Rhinolophus ferrumequinum: one gene and its partner. The protein of the gene in region 1 interacts with the protein of each later gene in a pairwise test. Links are inferred from orthologs where the notes say so. Each region holds a gene or a part of one and is shown on either strand. Other genes may lie near its edges.

Region 1 (8,373 bases):
AGATGGGTGTTGGCCTCCACAGCCTTTCATCCAGGACAGAATGACCCTGAGGTAAACTGGAGCAAGCCCCTCAGAGTCTTTTGTGGAAGTGGAGTGTCTCCCCACCAAAGATAGGTCACATCCTTCCAGGCTCCCCCAAGCTGATTCTCCTTTCTCACTGCTTTTCTGGAAATAAACCCTTGCTGCCCAGCGGTAAGATGACTGAGGCTGAGTGGGGAGAGCACCCCCAGCACCTGGACTGAAAAGAAGTAATCCTCAGGCATCTTGATGAGCAAGCTGGCAAAGGTAGGCTGCCCCCGAGGACAGACATCACAGCCACGAATGCTGTGATGGAAGAGAGGCAGGGAGGGTGTGGATCCATGTGGAAAGCACCAACTAACTGAGCTCAGCAGCCCTGGGCCGGGGTTGTTCTAAAGTTGCCATAATCAAGCCTGGGCTGTGCACCCAGAGCTTTCTGCCCATGCCTCCTGGGTATTCACAGTGACACCACATAGTTGACAGGCACAAGGGCAGGGCCACTGGCAGCCATCCTAAGGAAGGAGTCACTTCCTTAGGAGTCACTGCCTGTGGCTCAGGCAGGCCTGCTCGTCACTCCCAACGTCAAAAGGGCAGTAACAGTCTTCAAAGGCTTGGCCCAGGAAGCAACCCTTATCCCTAGTTTCCAAACTCAAATTCACTTAAACTCCATGGAATTTTAAAAATCACCTTCCAAGTAGGACGTCCTTGGCCAGATAGAAGCTGAAGAAGAACAAGGGCTATCAACAGCTCTGGGCTACCAGGAGTCCAGAGGTGAGGCCCCACCTTTACCAAGCCCCAAGGAACAGTGTTCACACAGCCCAAGGAGCCCCCTCTGTGCAAGCCGCTGAAGTAAACTTGACTTCTCCCACAGAGCAGGCAGTGCAGGAAGGGCCAATCTGGTCCTTCACTTTGGGCGACACAGGTGCTGACCCTAGCCGACTAGTGCCAGCTCCAAGCAGGTGAATCCCCAATGCCAGTGGCTGGCCCTTGCTTGGCCATTTGCCTGGGCACATCACGACTCTCACATCATCGGGTGGCGAGGCATTCCAGCCCAAGTCAACTGGCCTGGGCAAGGAGCACTTCCCAGCCAGTAGGATGGGCAACAGGGCAGCCAAGGACCCTGTGGTCCAGGTGTTGGCACTGAAATTGCCCACCATCCTATTACTATCCCCACAAAGGAGCCCCCACACTTGACTGGAGGGATCCTCAGCCAGAAGACTCCAGGCCCAAACAATGGGATTTTCCAGATCAAGAAACTGGGGCACCAGCCTAGCAGAATGACCTGGGACGAAGGGGGGGGGCCTCTCTCCTCAGGGTACCCTTTGCCCAACTGGAAGATGGAAGGGGAAAACGGGGCTGAGAGAAAGGTCCAGGACCAGCTGATCCTACAACCTCTCAGGCTAATCAGATTTGGAGCCCAACCCCTCCCTTCCCCCCACCTTCCCTGCCAGACCTAGCCCACGTGGTGGCCCTGCCCCTGCGGATGGGAGACTCAACTCTGGGGGGAGACTCAACTCTGGGTTCCTTCCCAGCTGTCATAAACCTGCCGTGGGAGGCTTCCATTTTAGTTTCATTCCTGGGTCTGTGGCCAGGACAGGATGCCAACCAAGACTGGGCCTTCTGCTGGGGGCGCAGGAGGGAAAGACTGAGCAAAAAGCACCGGGCAGCAGATTCTGAGGGGGCACCTCTCCCAGCCTTGGTTCTCCACTGTCCCCGCCCCCTAGAGATGCCTCCATAAGCCAAGGAAGTCCGAGGCAGCCGCGTTCTCCAAACCGTTTATTTCTCTCGACCGGGAGGTGGGAGCACGGCGGGCAAATACCGCAGGCGGCAGGGCCTGGTGCAGGCGGGTCCCGGGCAGCCCTCAGGCGAAGGTGGAACTGTTCCAACCCACGTTGGCCGCGTTCATGTCGTAGTAGTTGATGTAGATCCTGCGAGGGACAGAAGTCGAGCTGAGCTGGCCGTGCGGTCGCGGGCCGCGCGCCCCCTGCCCCCCGGCGCCCCCTACCGCACCTGTCCGGGCTGACGCGCAGGCGCTCGGCCAGCAGGCCGCACAGCAGCTTGCTGTAGGTGCGGTTTTGCGCGCCGCCGATCTTGCCGATGCTGTGCAGGCTGCAGAGTGCACAAGGCTCAGTGGAGCCACCGAAGGCCATGAGCTGGTCCGGGACCACGTGCACCGCGATGTACTGGGGGGAGAGGAAGAGAGGGCGCGGTCAGAGGATCCGAGCGACCTCGCCGGGCCCGGGGCGCCCCCCGTCCCTTCCCCGCCCGGAGTCGCCTCCCTTCGCCCCAGCTCGGGACCACCTCGGCCGACGGGCACCCCCTCTTCCTGTTCCCTCCCGGCTAACCTGGGCCGGCTTGCCAGTGGCCTGCGCCAACTGCTGGGTGAGCTCGGAGAGGAGCCCGTCCGGCACGGAGGCGCGGGGCACGTTGGTATTCACCACGAACATCGGCATGATGGAGGGATGGCAGGAATAGGGCACAGGAACGGAAATGCGCGGGACTGCAGCGGGAGAACCTGAGCTACGTGACCAACGCCCGCCGCAACTTCAGGGCAGCTGCGGTCCCGCCTCCCATGACGCAACCGCCGGCGGAGGCCCCGCCCCCGTGAGGCCGCGGCTCCCTCCCGACTGGTGACGTCGCGCCGGGCAGGACTCCGGAAGGGTGGGCCTGCCCGTCCTCCAGCGAAAGCCATAGCCCCGCGCAACCCCTCAAAGCCTTTCTCCACTTGGCTGTCTGAAATCTGCCTGTCCCTCGTTTTTTATCAGTCCTTTCATTTAGTTACTGATATTTACGCAGTGACCTGTATGTGCCTGGAGCTGGGACTACAGCAGTCAATAGGACAGATGGTCCCTGACCCTCCAGGGGCTCAGAGCTGGCCCAGTAGCTGAGGTCGTAGCTCATTCCATCTCACACTCACTGAGCTCTTGTGTGTCCTGAGTCCCCAGGGCAACATGTCCCCAAGAACTACAGTCCTGTGTGTATGTATGTATGTGAGAGAGAGAGATTGCTGTAGGTGGGAAGAAAGATGCCACAAGGGAGTCAACATCCAGCTCCGTTCCCTCCACTCCCCTCTCCCTTTCAGAGTGAGAGAGCATGCTGGGAGGCTCCAAGGGGAGGGGCAGAGAGTAGGAGGTGAGGCCCAGACAGAGCTCCATGGGCCAAAGGCAGCAACAGCCTGAGAGCCTACCCCCAACTTGAGGTGCCCTGGGCAACTTCTCTGCAGGTCTGGAAACTTCAGCTCTTCAGGGAATCCCCACCCTAGTCAGGCCCTCTAGGATGCCCTCTCAGACATCTTTGTCTTTTCACTAACTGTCAGCTCAGTGGACATCTAGTGGATACCAAGCACACACGACTAAATACTGGCTGAATGAATGAATGGGTGAATGAAGACAGCCATGACACAGCAGGAAGAGGACAGGGCAGCAACAAAGGCCAGGGATGAGCCTGCAGGCCCTGTCATCACTGAGTAGAAGGACCTGTGGCTAAGTGGCCACCCCCATTCCATCTCTGAGGAACCCCCGGTCAAGGTGTCACACTGGGGAATGGATCTCTCTCAGGTGCTGGAGGAGGCATGCTGCATTTGGCCAAGTCCTCAGAGCTCTCCAGGAAGGTCCTGTCCTTGGTCTCTGGTAGGTGCAATCGGTTAAGGTGGCATGGTACAAACTGGCCTTGATGATGGCCACTGATGCACTGATGTACTCCATGCCATGTGTCATGCGGGGTCCCAGCTCCTGCTCCCCACCCAAGAACGCAGGATATGGTGAGGCCAAAAAGGAACACCAACGGAGCCATGGATAGGGGAGTCATACCACTATATTCTCGCTGGCGGCTGGGTTGGAGACACAGGAAGCAGGAGCCACACTATCCGCAATCTGCCGTCCACTTCTCTGCCAACCAACCAACCCACCCCCGCCCCCAGCACAGCCACGGCAGTTATATCAGTGACCAATGGCTAAACGGCAACAGCTGAATGGCTACCCAGCCACAGCGGATGGCCATCTGATCACAGCTGATGGCCGTCCAATAACTGAGCCAGCATCTTTCCACGTGAGGCCAAGAGCCTAGAAATTGCTCTCCGGGACTCTGTCCCCACACTGTGTCTCCTGCCCAGGAGGCTCTTCTGAGTCCTAACAGCCAACTCAGCATTTCCTGCTTTTATGTCCAAATCTAAGCGCATTTCTTTTCCTCCCACACCTGACTGCCTGCCAGTGAAATGTACCTCCCTCCACTGTCCCTTTATCCTCACTTCTCTCCACCCACCTCGTTACCACCACCTTAGTCTAAGCTAGCTGGCATCACCTTTGGCCTGGCTTGGACTCTGGAGAGAAGCCCATTTCCCTGACCCTGGCAGCAGATCTGGCCATGTAATTTCCCTTGCCCAGTGAAATGTGAATAGAAGTGACATGAGTGACTCCAGACAGAAGATTCAAGAGCCAGCACCTGTGTGGGGACAGAGCCCACAGTTTCCAAGGTCTCGGCCTCACGTGGAAAGGTCCTGGCTCAGGTAGTAAATGGCCAACAACTGTGCTTGGATGGCCATCAGCTGTGGCTGGTTGGCCGTCAGCTGTAACCAGTGAGTCACTGGCCATTTATATAACTGCCGTGGCTACGCTAGCAGGAAGTGGTGGCTAGCAAGAAGATGGTGGCTGACAAGCACGGATTGCAGTTAGCACGGTGGAGTGCGGGTTGCAGATTGCAGAGAAGTGGACGGCAGGTTGCAGATCGTGTGGCTCCTGCTTCCTGTGTCTCCAACCCAGCCGCCAGCGAGAATATAGTGGTCTGACTCCCCTATCTATGGCTCCGTGGGTGTTTCTTTTTGGCCTCACCATGTCCTGTGTTCTTATGTGGGGAGCAGGACCAGAGACCCCACATGACACCCTGCATGACAACCTGGTTTGCTGCTATCTGAGATAATGAGAGTGGGTGATAAGGTGGAGCCTGGCCAGCAAACACCCATAATGCTCCTGTGGTTGAGCCACTGCCATTTTCAGGTTATAGTAGCATAGGGGGGGACACCCCTGATCAGAACAGCCTCTGAGCCATTTGCCATCAGCTCTTACTCTCCCCCAACCTGTTTCCAATAGTGAACACCAATTTTCTGTGGAGGTGCTATGATTCCCACCTCCCCCTCTTATTAGCGTGGACATTTGGCTAACCTCTATAAGCCTCAATTTCCCCAATTTCCCCTGTAATTTGGGGATGACAGCAGTGTCCACCTTACAGGGGGGTGTTGTGAGGACCAAGTGGCCTAAATACTGGTGACAGTCACTTCTGATAGAAGTAGTATTGTCACAATGCCCTGGGTGACCTCCCTGCCTACATCTTGCACCACACTCTTGTTCTCTGGTCTTGTGCACTGCCCTTCAGTGCCATGCTGCTGGCTCCTGATTCCTGGCTCTTGGCTCAGGCATTGGTCCTGAAATTAGGTTTGCCCACACTTTCCTTCGTCTGACTTGGACTCAGTTCCTTGGGAAAGCCCTCAGAGCTCCTGGCTCTGTCGGGTCCTGTAATGTGCCAAGCATCTGCCCTGTCCTTCGAGGCCATCACCACATTTCTATCTGTGAGGTAACCATCCTTTCTAGGCGGTAAATCCATGAGAATGGAGACCATTGCTGTCTGCGTACCTTCTGACCTGGTACCTCAGTGGTAGCCAGAGAGCCTCCAAATATGTCCACACTCCAATCCCCAGAACCTGGGAATATGTTAGGTTACATGGCAAAAGGCACTTCACAGATGTTAATTAGGGTTATGGGATATAATTAGGGAGATTATCATGGATTATCTGGGTGGGTCCAATGTAAGAGGTCACATGACCCCTTAAAAGCAGAAAATTTTTTCCAGCTAGTCAGATGCAGCAGAACGGGATGTCAGAGACTCGAAGCAGAAGGACTCCGTGTGCCGTTCCTGACTTTGAGGTTGAAGGGGACCTCAGCCAACTGCAAGGAGCTGAATTCTGCCAACAACCTGAATGAACATGGAAGTAGGCTCTTCCCAGTTGACCTGAGACACCTTGACGTCAGCTGTGTGAGACCTTAAGCAGAAGACCCAGTCACGCCGTATTGGGTGACTGACCCACAGAAACTGTGAGATAATAAATGTGTGTTGTTTTAAGCTGCGAAATTTATGGTGATTTGTTCTAGGAGCAATAGAAAAGTAATACACCTGGCATCAATAGGGTTCAATAATTATCGGCTGAGAAACAGGCACCAGGTGGCGTTTTAGCAGATGTGGCCGCCGCCCTGCCTGAGACCCTCCTCTCTTTCCTCCTCACTGACAGAATCCCAGTTCTCTTTGGTTAGAACATTCGCTGCCCCAGAGCCCCTGGCAACCAGGTGTGGCTGTTTGAGGCAGCTGTGGCTCACGTACTGTGTGGGGTTGATGGGGAAGCAGCTGCTTTGCTGACGGAGGTGTCACCCTACCCCCTTCCTCTTGCTCCCGCCTGCAGTTTGGATATAACCCCCGGTTGTGTGGCATCTGTTGAGCAACCAGAGCTGAAAAAACACAGGCAAAGGAGAAGGAGTGGTAAACCAAGGGAGCCTGGGGCTCTGACAGCTCTGCCCATTGACAGCTCTTCAGCTGCCATTTGGTTAAAGAAGAGAAATAAACCCCTCTCTGTTCAAAGCACAGCTTGTCAGAGTTTCAAGCCCAGTGCAATTCCTGGCTGTTGCAGAGGACTGCTTCAGTGTCACATCCTGTGTAAGGGCTGTTGGACAGGGAAGGGGGTGGGAAGAAAACCTCACGAGGTAGGGAGATGTCACGAGATGAGGAGAACTGTAGCGCACACTGAGTACCCGGCAGACCCTGCAAGTGGGCAGCCAGCTCTGGGTTGAACAGCTCCAAGGGCAGGACCTGAGTTACCTGAGTTACCCGTGCTGGAGGGAGGAAGGCCGTGGTAAGGGAGAGCCTGCAGCTCCCCTCGAGTACGACCCGCTTATCCCCTCGCTGCCTTTCCCTGACGTGGACCGGTCATCACTCCACGTCTGTGGATGGCGGCCCACCTTCCCACCACTCCCACTGCCCCCTCACCAGCCTCATGTCCCTCAGCATCCCGCCCCAGCCATGATTCATCACTCCCTCCTGCCCCAACAACCCAGGCAGCCCTGGCCCCTGACCATCCCCCATTCGCCAGTCCCCTTGCCCTTTTTCACTCAATGTGGTAAAAGTTGCAGCAAAGACAAGCAAAGACACCCTATCCCCCTTTAGTCATAGTGGAAGAAGACCTGGGGGGTCGTCACCCCACTGATGACCCCTACCCAGCCATACGTAAAGGTACAGGACTGTAAAGACGGGTGTCTGCCAGGAGACCACTGTCGCGTCCTGCATGACAAGAGCTATGGGAAGCAAGAAGGGCTGCGCAGGGTTAAGAAAGACAGTAGCCAAGAGTAGAGTGCAAGCTGGGCCAAGGGACTCAAGTCTCAAGGACTGAGCTCCGAATCGGGCCAACGCATGGCTTTTATTAGTAATCATACAAGGAAGTAAAGTTTGATTTTTCCATGGTCCACAAGTCACGTGCCTGACTGCTGTTCTTCCCGAAAGCCCCCATCGTGCTCCAACACGTACTGTGCCTTCACACACACACGTATAACTCCAGGGAATGGAATCACTGTACTGAAACCATCAGATAAGAGAGCCTGACCGAGATTATTCCATCGGTTTCCAGCTTTCTGGGACCCTCCCCCAAAGAAGCTTTACCGACATTATTCCATCGGGTCTCAGCTTTCTGAGACACTTCCTTGCGATGTCATGGGGAAGGCGTGGGGAACACACAGTTCGGCAGCTATAAGGCAACGGATCACCACACTGCAGAGAAAGGCCCAGGGGTCACGGCCAGCAGAGTGATCCGGACTGAGTCACTTAAACCCACTGAGCTGCATTTTCGTCATCTCAAAATGGAGATGGTAATTTCTTTTCCATAGACTTGTGTGAAGATTAAAGGAGACAAGCTCAAAGTTCCTGGCATACAATAGGTGCTCAATAAATGCCACCTGATCTTACTGCATTGTAACCAAGTGTCCTGGAGCAGGAAATGGGCTAACAGGACTGAACCCTAATGGTGGGCATCCCGACAGAGCGGGCAACTGTGCTTTCCTTCCCTGGTGGCCAGGTCCTGTCCCCACCCACTCCTCCCTTTGACCGGTCACACCAAAGTTGAGGCCAGTCTGCTCGGAAGTCCCCAGGAAATGGGCCTGCTCCAACTGCTGCACAGGAGGTGACAGTGGCGCAGCCCAGCTCAGACTCATGGACAAGAGCCATAAGCAGCCCATAGCAACCTGTCCCAAAGGTTGTGTACTGAGCTTCTTGGAAATCCTCATTTCCTGGAACATGGAGGTGTAAGCAGGCACCTTGTGGGGAGAG
Region 2 (10,964 bases), on another chromosome or scaffold:
TAACAGGAAGCAAAGAGGATGACAGCATTGAGGCCATCACCATGGTAACCTGGGAAGGATAAAGGGAAGATTCATTCATTCAAGCAACAAATATGTACTGACAGACATGTTGCCGCTGAGGGACTCGGAGGGTCTCTGGAAGTTACAGAAGGATGGGAGCACCCAATCACGGGGTTTCCAGCGAAGGCATTTTAGTCCAGAAGTCATAGTCCTTCCCCTCCACTATGCCAGCCATTACCTCCATGGGAAAGCACTTTCTTATAGGGCTCAATGACCGTCATGTCCACTCGCTGCTCCCGCTGGCCTGTGCGGAACACCCTCCAGCGATGACCGTCTTCTCCAGCCACATCCCACATGCAACCCCGGCCCAGCCTTTCAGCGGCTTCACTGGCCCCCAGGCCCTCTGCCCGGGGCAGCTCGTCTAAAACGGAGGGATGGGGAAGGGTCAACAGGGCAGAATACACACCCTCAGCATCGTGAACGTCCCCCGTTTTCTAGCTTATTGCCTCACCCTCTCATCCCTCAGTTCCTTCCCCATGATGCTAGCCCTCGTTTGTCCAATACAGCCAACCCCTTGCTGGTGGCTCTCTATGACTCATCATCGTCACTTTTGCAGTAGACAGTGCCCTTGAGGCAACCTTGCCCTGTGGTAGGTCTATGGCCCTTGCCAGTATCAGTTTTTGTTTTCTTTTTTCCGGATTCTTTATTCCTCTTTCCATGCTTTTCTTTGGGTGAGCGCATCTATTCCCATGTCTTCCATTAGCAGCGTAAGGTGATGACCCCCAGATTCGCCTCTGTCACCCAGGCTTCTCTCCAGACCCACATCCCCGCGTGCCTACACGGGACACCTCTACTCATCTCTCTGTCACCTCCAAGTCACCAGACCCCAAGAGCAACTCAGACTCTGCTCTTCTTCCTCTCTCAGATTCCTTTCTCAGTGAAGGACTGGGTCCATCCAGCTTCCTGAGAGAGAAATCTGTACATCATCCGAGACTCTCCTCTATCAGCCCTCGAGCCAAGTGGAGCCTGGGTCCTCTTCCCTCTGCCTCCATTACACTTTTATCACTCCTTCCGCTGCTACTGTCCTGGTTCGGCGTCTTAGTATTTCTCACCTAGCCTGTTCTCGCCTCCTAACTGGTCTTCCTGCCTCTGGTCTGGTTTCCACTGCACCCTCTACACGACTGCCAGAGCAAGCTTTCTTTTCTCCCCTACCTTTTTCACCCAAATGACAATACTATGCCCACCTCATTTTAAAAAATAGCTGCCTAGTACTTAGTATTCCATTGTATGGCTGCACCATAAATAGGACTGATACCCTACAGAGGGATCTTTCCAGAGTGATTAATTCTGATCACGTCACTCCCTTGATGAAAACCATTCAATGACTCCCCATCTAAAGATAAAAGATAAAATCTACACTTCTTAGCAGGGCAGCAAGACTCTCCGCTATTTGACCTTGCTGACTTAACATAGCACTATCTTTTGTCATTGTCTCTTCACCTCCCAACCTTTCATATCTGAGACACAATATATATTTTTGTTTTGTCCCTGCCTCCTGAAACAGTGGATGAGAAACATGAAAGGAGTACATTTGGTTATTCATAACCAGCGCCTTTCAACCACATGGGTTTTTATTAATAAGGTGACTTTGGAAAGCCCCTAAGGATGAGTGGCTGGTTGCCAGGGGAACCATCCTTGTTATTAGAGGGTTGCACCTTTGAGGAGGAGAGAGAGACTAGGTTGTGTTAATCACTAATGGCCAGTGAACCAATCAGTCGTGACCACACAATGAAGCCTCCATAAAACCCTAGCGGAGGCGGTTCGGGGAGCTTCTGGGTCGGTGAACAAACACATGGGGGTGCTCAGAGGGCGTGGAAGCTCCACACACCTCCCCATACACCTTGTCCTACACATCTCTTCCTTCTGGCTGTTCCTGAGTTGCATCCTCGTACAATACATCTGTAATCTAGTAAGGAAATTGTTTTTCTGAGTTCTGTTAGTCATTCTAGCAAATTATCGAACCTGAGCAGGGGGCAGTGAGTGGCCAGCACAGGTGATGACCTGGACATGTGACTGGTGTTTGAAGTGCGGGGAGGGGGACAGTCTTGGGGGACTGACCCTTAACCTTGGGGTCTGCGCTAACTCCAGGTGGTTCATGTTCTAACTTAATTGCTGTCTGGAGAGCTGGAGAATTGATGTGGGGAAAACCCACACAGTTGGTCTCAGAAGTGTTGAGAGTAGAGAAGAAACCAAATTTTCCTTAATATCTAAATAGTCATGCTTGAGACTTGGAATTCCCCAAATGCCATGCCGCTGCCCCAATCGCCTCTTCCAGCTAGAATGCCTGTCCGACTACGTGACGGACAGCTGTCAGTCACCTCCTCTGTGGTCTTTCCTCGTGCCTCTCCCGCAGCACTGATCTCCCCCTCCCGGCCTGAACTGTACCCTGGACATGTGAAGGTCATAAGCTGGAACTGCACTTCCTTCTATTTATGCTCATTTCTTACTAAACAGAGAAGTGCCTGAGGGTGGGGACTTTATATCTCCGGTTCCAGCTCAGTGATGGCATGTAACAGTCATTCAACAGTTTTCCTTAATAAAAAAGGACCCCAGCCCCCCTCTGCTGACACTCTTGCATTGGATCTCTGGGCTCTAGCTTTCTATTCTGAGGAAATCGATTTTGCTGACCTCACTTCTCAGTCCCCTCCTTGTTAGTTCTAACTTCAGTCCCACTAAATCCATCCCGAGCTTCTTTAACTGGCCTCTACTTCTACCAGCTCAGCCCTCAGGTGTCTTTCCCACCTTCCCATTCAAACTCATGTCCACTGTCCAGCTGCTCCGAGTCTGAAGGTGTCTCTAATTCGTCTACTTCCAGGTCAGAACTGCCACCGGGAGAGGAAGGTACAGAGTGGAGAGGAGAAGCTCCATTATCTCCCGGCCCTTTCGTCAGATTCAGTAGCAACGCTGGGGCAGAAAGACGCTTACGCATGGGGCGCTGGCCACACAGGGCTAACGTGCTGGGGGTACCTGGGTTGGAGGAGGGTGAGGGGACAAAAAAATAAAAAGATGTGTGTATGTGTTAGCGGGGGAGGTTAGAATTCCTGTGTAGATGGAAGTGATAATACGGAGACAACACAGGACGTTTGGGGAAAGGGAATTAAAATTGCAAAGGGATACGGGTGGCATAACCCTTCACTAGATTTGAATCAAGAATTTGAGGCCTAGGATTGACTTTTCCTACCTGCCTGTGAGTCACTTTCAGGACTATCAGTATCTTCGGAAGGGTCAGCTGCTTCAGGAAGCAATCTAGAAGGGAAAAGATTAAAAGGGGGAAGAAACACAGGCTAAAGGCATCAAGCCAGATATTGATTGACCCATTCTCTCTCCCCGCCACAATTTCATCACCTCCGCTTTCTTTATCCAGCGTCTTTCCTTCAAGTCCTGGCTTACCCTCCCTGCCCTCCATTGTGACCACCCCCCTTCTCCCAGCCTCCCTCACACCTCCTCACCTAGGGAATTCTTCATCCTGCCATTCCTCCTTCAGATCCAGTCCCTCGAGTCTCAGCGGTGCTCCTAGTCCTGTCGCTTCTGCATTCTCCCTGACCGTAAGTCCCCCCACCCCCCAAAAGAAAAGATTACCATGAAGCAAACTAAGCAGTGTCTTAAGGGAACTGGATGGGAGGTAGGAGACCCTGGGATGGAGAATAGTGACTCAGGTGCCGGGCAGAGGGCAGGCCCTAAAAGGAAGTCAGATCTCTTGTCTCCTAGGCAGATGTTTCCACCCACTTCACCACTGGCTAGAAACAGATCACCCCTCATTTGCGCTGAGGAGCAGAGGAAGGATAGAACACAAAGCTAATCAGTTACATCTGTGGCAGTCCCTCCACCTACACAGTAGGGGTGAGAGTGTTTCTCATTACAATTGGCTGGAACCCAACAGACCTGCCCCAGTCACATGGCACCTGGTCAGGCCTGCCTTTCCTCCACCATGTTGGGAGTGGCCAGGGGAAACCATGGCATGGGTGGAGGAAGAAGGTAAGAAGAAAGATTTGCTGGGGAGGAGAACCCGGACCTAATTTAATTCTAGGTCTGCTTTCCTAGAGAATAGCCATTTTGGAGGGTGAGGGTCAGAAAACAGAGAACAGGGGCAGATTTATCACACAGAGTATTTCCTTCAAACACACACACACACACACACACACACACACGCACAGGGAATTACCCTGGCCTCCCCTGTTCCCATACCATTCCAACATTTCCTACCTAAAGCCACCCCCATGCCTTCCCTGCAAATTCTTAGTCTTATTGCCTCTAGGAACCCAAGATCAGACCTGGTAAGAGCTGGGTGGTGGGAATATCCCCTAAGACCATTCACTTCTTTCCAACTGAGTTAACCAAGATCTTACTTACCCGAGATCCAATGTCTTTTCTCCTGCCTCCACTATAGTTTCCATCTTCCCAAATCTTCCTGTCTCCTTTACACACCTGGACTTCTAGGCAGCCGGTGGTCCCAGCTCCCCAGCACTTCTGTACCCTTTTCTCTCTCAGCTGTTGTTGCTCTTGCCTCAGAAGGAAGGGGTAGAAGGGAGGGAACCTCACCTTCAAACAGGTTTTGCCACCTCCCTTCCCAAGGAGCAGGTTCACCCAAAAGAATAACCCTGCCTAAGTGGGGGCGGGTTTGGGGGAGGAGAGTACATTTTCTAAAGGGGCTAGTCTTGGGGGGGGGTAGAGGTTTATGTAGTAAGGCCACTTGTTCTCCTCCTCAGACTCCTCATAACCTGGAAGCTGCTTAAAAAAAAAAAAAGACAAAAAGGCAACAGTAAAACCCACTTTGGTTTTAAGACTATGTTGGCCCTACCTTTTGAGCATAAGCAAAATCAGCAACACAGAAGTATGTTTTCAGGAGGGTTCTGGAGGAAGAAACAAATGAAAGGCAAGGCTGAGGGTGACGAGAGACAGAAGACTGTTGTGCCTTATTCCTAAAGAGTCAACGGAAGGAAAACATGAAGTAGAGCAGGAAGAAGGGAGATGAAACTTGAGGAGGCTGAAACAGTGATCTGAGGCAAAGGCCTGATTATAAGTTGTAAAAAGAGACAATACGACCCCAAACAGGAAAAAAAAATTTAATACTTTAACAAAATGCAAAATAAAGTACCCAAATTACAAAACATAAACTCTTTTGGTTCAGTAATCACACGACTATTTTCACCTTCCAATGGCTACACACATCATCCCCGCAGGAAGTCCGCCCGCCCCCCATTACAATGAAGACGCCACGCGTCACACCCCCCCACTACTCAGTGAAACTGTTGGCAACTTATGTGGAATAGAGCTGCGGGGGGTCGGGGGGACAGGGGGACAGGTCTGAAGAGAAAAGGAGACTACACGCCGAACAAGTCAGGGGAGGGAGCTCTCAGCCGGTCACTAAGGTCTGAGACGCACCTCTGTACATGCTACATGAGGCCGACCGAGTCCCTTGGCACAAGCACGTATAAATACAGACAATCTGGTGACCCCGAGCATTCCCAGGGAAAACAGAAAAATAAAACCCAAAACATTCAGAGATGCAGAGAGAAAGGATGGCGGCAAGAGGCAGATCACAGAACGCGAGAGAGGTTTGCGTCCAGGTCCATGGTGTTATAGATGGGAAAATGAGACCTAGAGAGACAAAGCGTCGCAAAAGACTCATGGTTCATGGCAGCTGGTGTCAGAACTCCAGGCTTCCTCTTAATATGAGCAAGAGAATAACACAGACAAGAAACTGACAGACCCACTAAGGCTGGGGACAGAGCCCGGGCTCTTAACGCAGTTCTGCTGGCTTTTGGGAAGAGTCTATGAAGTCTTAGGCCCAGAGCACTCCAGAACCAGGGTCTGTTGGGTCTCCTCAGGCTCCCCGTGGCTTTGGGGGAGAGGAATCCAAAGAAAGTGAGAGCCGGGCCACCTGATCAGGACAGAAGATAATGGCCTCTACCCTGCTCCCCGGTAATGCCGGAAGAGTCACAATAAGCTCAGAACAGAAATTTCGTCACCTCAGAATCAGACATCGTTACCTAGCTGGGGGCAGAGAGAGGGGTCACGAAGTTGGAAATCTGCTAACGGCTGAAAACTGGAAGAAGAGTTTCCAAAGCACTCCATGTTTCTACCTAGCTTGAAGTAGGTGCTCAGTAATAAATACTTGACTTCACCAGAGAATAAGTGAATACATGGAGACCGTAAGCGTGTGGTTCCATGAGACACCGGAAAGAGCCTCGTGGAGGGCACTTCTGGGGCACACGTTCTCTGTGCCCCTGGCAAATGAGATGTAGGAGAGTCAGTGCAGACTTAAATCATTAAATTAAATAATAAAATTTGATTGGTAGAGACGGGTGGGGGGGGTGGAAAGGCAGAAAGCCACTCCTGAAGCAGCTGCTTTCTTGTACTTCTTTCTCCTCCCAGGTTTATGACCACAATCCACCAGATCCTGGAGCAACGAAGACAATTGCTGAAACGTCTCAAAACATGCAAACGTCTCAAAACATGGTTCAAGCAACTTCTCTCGCTATGCTCGCCTGTCCCAACAGTCACTTCTTGGACAGGGAGGCACCGGTGGTCTGTGACAGCGAGATCTGACTGCACTTCTCAAAGATGGCCTCGGCGGAGAGTTTCGGCAGCCCCTGATCCAGAGGGCACTCATCCACCAAGCTGTTCATGGGTGTGGGGGGCAGTGGGGGGTCCTCCTCATCTTGACTCAGTCCAGGAATCAGCGGGGTACCTGCCCTGTCCAATTCTTTGTCTACCTGCTCCCTGGACACACCCCCTGTCTCAGGCTGCCCCGAAGGGATTGTCATGGAGTCAAAATACGCTGACAGGGCTTCCTGGAGCAGAGGCAGAAATTTCTTCCGAGAGACCTGGGTGTTGCCTTGGACGTAGGCCTGGAGGTTGGGGTGGCTGCTTGGGACAGGGGTCAGCTTCAGGGACGGAGACTGGGAGCATTCCAGGACCCCACAGATCTAAAGGGGAGACAAGATGGGGAAATGGTATATAAGGCGGTGGCTGAGGCAAAGAGCTGAGGCTTCCCAGGTACAGGCTTCTCTTACAGAGGAGAACACGGTTTTTTTATTAAGTCACCTAGAGTTCAGTTTCATTGCTTGCAACCAAAGGCACATCAGCTAATACATCTAGTATTTCAGAAACAGAAGAAACACTTGAGACCATAGACTTCATTTTATTATGAAGTCAACCAAAGCCCCGAGAGATGAACAAAATTGTGTAGATGATGGTGGAATCTGAACCAGAACCCAGGCCCCCCAGCTCCTAACACTTGTTGTTAGGAGGATACTTGTTGTTTCCAAGTGTATTCCTGGGCTCAAAAACTTGAACTCTAGCCTTAGCTGGGACAGGACAGACCTCTACTGAGGTCGGGAAAGAATCAGGGCGGAATGAATGAACAGATCAAAGTGGGGTGGGACGTAGGCCAGGCACGGTGCCACGTCTGGCCATTTACCAATAGTCTCTCTTGGAATCCTCACAACTCCCTTATAAGATTGGTATTACCATTACTCTCATTTACAGGGAGGGAAACTGAGGCTTAGACAGATTAGGTAACTTGGCTAAAGTCAGAGCTTGAAGGAAGCAAAGCTGACACTGGAGCCTAGGTCTGTCAGCAAAGGCAATGCTCGAAATCGCTGTGTTATACTGTCCCAACAAGAGGGAGAGCGGCAATGGCACGGACAGTGGGAGAGGCCTCCTGTGGCCCAGCACAGCCAGGCTGTGGTGGGGACACAGTGGGGACAGGCACTTCTATCAGCCGAGGGACCCTTTCCTTCATGACACGCTGGTAAGAGCCACCTGGCACCGAGTGCTGACTGTGCCCAGCAATATACTTTACACGATATTGTGTTTAATGTTACATCAGACTGATTACTGAGTAGGTAATATCATGCCACTTACAGACTCAGAAGTCAACTGACTTGCCTTAGCTCAAAGAGCACGGAAGTGGCAAACGGAGACAGAAAAGCATGTCTACCTGCCTTTAGAAACTAGTTCTTTCCACAGGACCAAACTACCTTCCACTGAGTGAAGTGACACTTGTTTCCTGTAGGAGAAGGCAGGCAGAGAGAGGTGGAGGGGGGCAGACGTACCTTTCGCGGGCTCAGAGGGTTCTCTGGCTGTAGTCACCAGTCTGGCAGTTCTCACACAGCCAAGCAGCCCAAAGAGCCCCTGGACCGCCTTACGTCCACTTTTAAATTCTCCTCTGGGCTAATGAGTAACCAACAGAGGAAAAGAAAGGGGAGGAGGAGGGCAAGGGGACCACATGGCAGATCAGGCAAGAAAACAAACCTGCTCCCAGACCACTTCTCAACAGTCAGCGCTAAACAAGAGTAATTAATTGCTGCACAGGTAAGTAGCAGAAAAGCTTTCTCTTGTGTTTCCATTTTCAAGACAATAGGGTAAAAAAAAAAAAAAAAAAAGAAAGAATCGATTTTCAGGGGTGGGAATCAAAGATTACACCAAGTCTTAACTCCAAATTTATTTTCTTTGAAGCCGATTTTAAGTTCCTTCTAAGTAGGAACCGTGTCTCTAATTCTCTTTGGAATCTCCCTTTCTCAACAATGATTAAGGGTATTCACGTATGTAGAGAATGGGAAAAAGCGGAGAGGGGAGATTTTGGGAATACGAAGGACCTGTGTCAACATAAGAACCAAGGAGAGGTCTTACCACAGAGGGCAGCGCGTATAGGCAGAGCGCCGCAGGGCCTTCGGGATGGAGAAGGGACAGAGACTCACCGTCATTCGGAGGGCTGCATGGGGACAGAAAATAGCCAGCTGCCTCACTGGCTCATTGTGAGGGTTGAAAACGATCGTCATGGCAACCAGGGCATCGTAGCTGTGAGCCTGGCAGTAAGCACGGAGGTCTGCAATGAGACCAGACCTCTGCAGGAAGGCCTGGAAGAGAAGAAATGGACAGAGCTGAGGACGACAGCTGGCCCCTCACTGTCACCACCAACACAACACGCTTAGGAAGGGTTTCTCTCTCTGCACGTTACCCTGGGACTGGTACGCCAGAAGAAGTACCTGGATGTACTCTGTGCTGGGAGGCAGTGTGTAGAGTGGGGAGAAGATGGGCTTTGGGTTCAGATAGAATTGGTTTGAAAATCAGCTCTATTACCTATAGCTAAGCATTATGTTCAAAGAGTTAGGTTAACCGCCCTGGACTTAAGTTTCCTCGTCTGTAAAGTGAGGATGAAACATTTACCAAACATGGTTGTTTTAGGAATTACAAAAATTCCCCTGTTCTTGCAATCAAAGGTCTTTGCCGTTTGGGTATTTTAATTCCAAAATGGAACAACGGGGCACACAAATAAGAATAGACACGTGACAACTGCATCCTTGGCTCTTCATCCTTTGCCAATCTATGCTCATCTCCAACATCTCACGCAGTGTTTCCCCCAGTGGATCCCCCAATGGAGAGCACCCCCACCTGTTTCTGATCATGGCTTCTCTCTCCCTTTGGCCCTTTTAATGTGTTAGTTTGCTTTGTGCTTATGGGACTTGGTAAGCCTTTTCAGTTCTTATGTCTGTTTTCCAAACTAGGTTATGAGTCGTAAGGGAAGAGGTCATGCTATTTTGTTTTATTTAGTGTTTTAGCATTTGTACACGGCATTTAGTAGAAAGCTGTGCAGACTATGAGAGTATGTGTTCAGATCAGGTTGTCGAACGATTTAAACCCATATGATGTGGAACCAGGAATTCAAATACCACTTCAGATATCAAGCATCAAAATTCTACTCATTCACCCATTTCACAAAGTTTATTGAGCAGCCACTGAGTGCCAGGCATTGGCAAAGGTGCTAGAGACACAACCCAACCAAACCCAAGAAGCAGGGTCCTCCCTCTGGCGGGGCTGATACACCAGCAGAGGAACAGAGACAATAAGCAAGGAAAACATGAAATATGATTATTCCAGTGTGTTAAGTGCTACGAGGAAAACAAAGTAAGATAAGTGCTAGAGATTTCTGAGTGGGGAGGGTATCATTTCAGTGAGGACGGTCAGGAAGAACTTCTTAAAAGAGGGGACACCTGTGCTCAGTGAGACGGAGAAGCCGGCGCTGCACAGGGAAAAGCGAGTGCAAGGGCCCTGAAATGGGCATGAGCTTAATGGCGCCGAGGAACAGAAAGCAAGCCAGTGTGGCTGCAGTACTGTGAGGGCAGGAGTGGGGAAGTGGGGCTGGAGTGACGTGAGGTCGGAGAGAAAGACAAGGGCCAGACCAAGGAGGGCGCTGTAACCACAGCCAGGCCTTTGCATGTTATTAGAAGTCCACTGAAAAGGCGGTAAAGGGAGGGGCGGTGTGATCTACCTGACGTATCAAGATCGCTCCGGCTGCTGTGGGGAGAATGGTTTGTAGGGGCGCAAAAGTGCAGGCAGGAAAACCAGGAAACTGTGGGAGTGACAGAGACGGAGAGACGCAGGAAGGTACGAGATGTCCTCCGGAGGAGAGCCAGGCGTGAGGGGCAAGAGTACCTCCCTAACTGAAGGTTTTCGTGCCCACCACAGCTACACCTTGCTCTTACCTCCAAGTCCACATATATTGCACTAATGGCCACCTTGAGGCCTTGTCTGGTGATGGTCTTCTGGTCCTTTCTCAGCATCTGCTCGGTGGTCAGTCCTAGAAAGCAGATGTGAGACTTGGGGTCAAAGAGCCCAGGGCCCTAAGACCAGGAAGGTGAGGATACCAAGATGGGCCAAGGAAGAGGAAGAACACAGCCTCTCTTTGGGGCAATGAAAGGACTGGTAACTGAGAATGTCATTAGATAATCAAAATTACTTTAAATTACTGGGTCACAATAGTTACCATTAGAACAAGAGAGAGAAGGATAAAAGGAAGAAGGGAGCCTTTTGCTTAGGATTCTCCCCCTTTCTGTGTTTTTTTCATTGTCTAAAAGTACATGTGGCACTTTTCTTTCTATACGTCAAGAGGTAGTAGC

What was found.
Region 2: the proteins of MIF (region 1) and BNIPL interact in a two-hybrid assay, tested with the Homo sapiens proteins (2 studies listed by BioGRID and IntAct). The link is inferred for Rhinolophus ferrumequinum from reciprocal best matches to the Homo sapiens genes MIF and BNIPL.

Annotation. Positions count from the first base shown.
Region 1 is NC_046308.1:22,613,231-22,621,603, forward strand, and holds MIF (macrophage migration inhibitory factor), read right to left. Parts: upstream 2,585-8,373; 5' UTR 2,472-2,584; coding exon 2,364-2,471; intron 2,202-2,363; coding exon 2,029-2,201; intron 1,947-2,028; coding exon 1,880-1,946; 3' UTR 1,778-1,879; downstream 1-1,777.
Region 2 is NC_046305.1:51,128,985-51,139,948, reverse strand, and holds the start of BNIPL (bcl-2/adenovirus E1B 19 kDa-interacting protein 2-like protein), read right to left. Parts: upstream 4,584-10,964; 5' UTR 4,455-4,583; coding exon 4,411-4,454; intron 3,600-4,410; coding exon 3,510-3,599; intron 3,307-3,509; coding exon 3,242-3,306; intron 3,028-3,241; coding exon 2,803-3,027; intron 422-2,802; coding exon 239-421; intron 50-238; coding exon 1-49. Other genes in the region: exopolyphosphatase PRUNE1, read right to left, coding at 6,561-6,989, 8,766-8,924, 10,551-10,645. UniProt on the Homo sapiens protein: May be a bridge molecule between BCL2 and ARHGAP1/CDC42 in promoting cell death.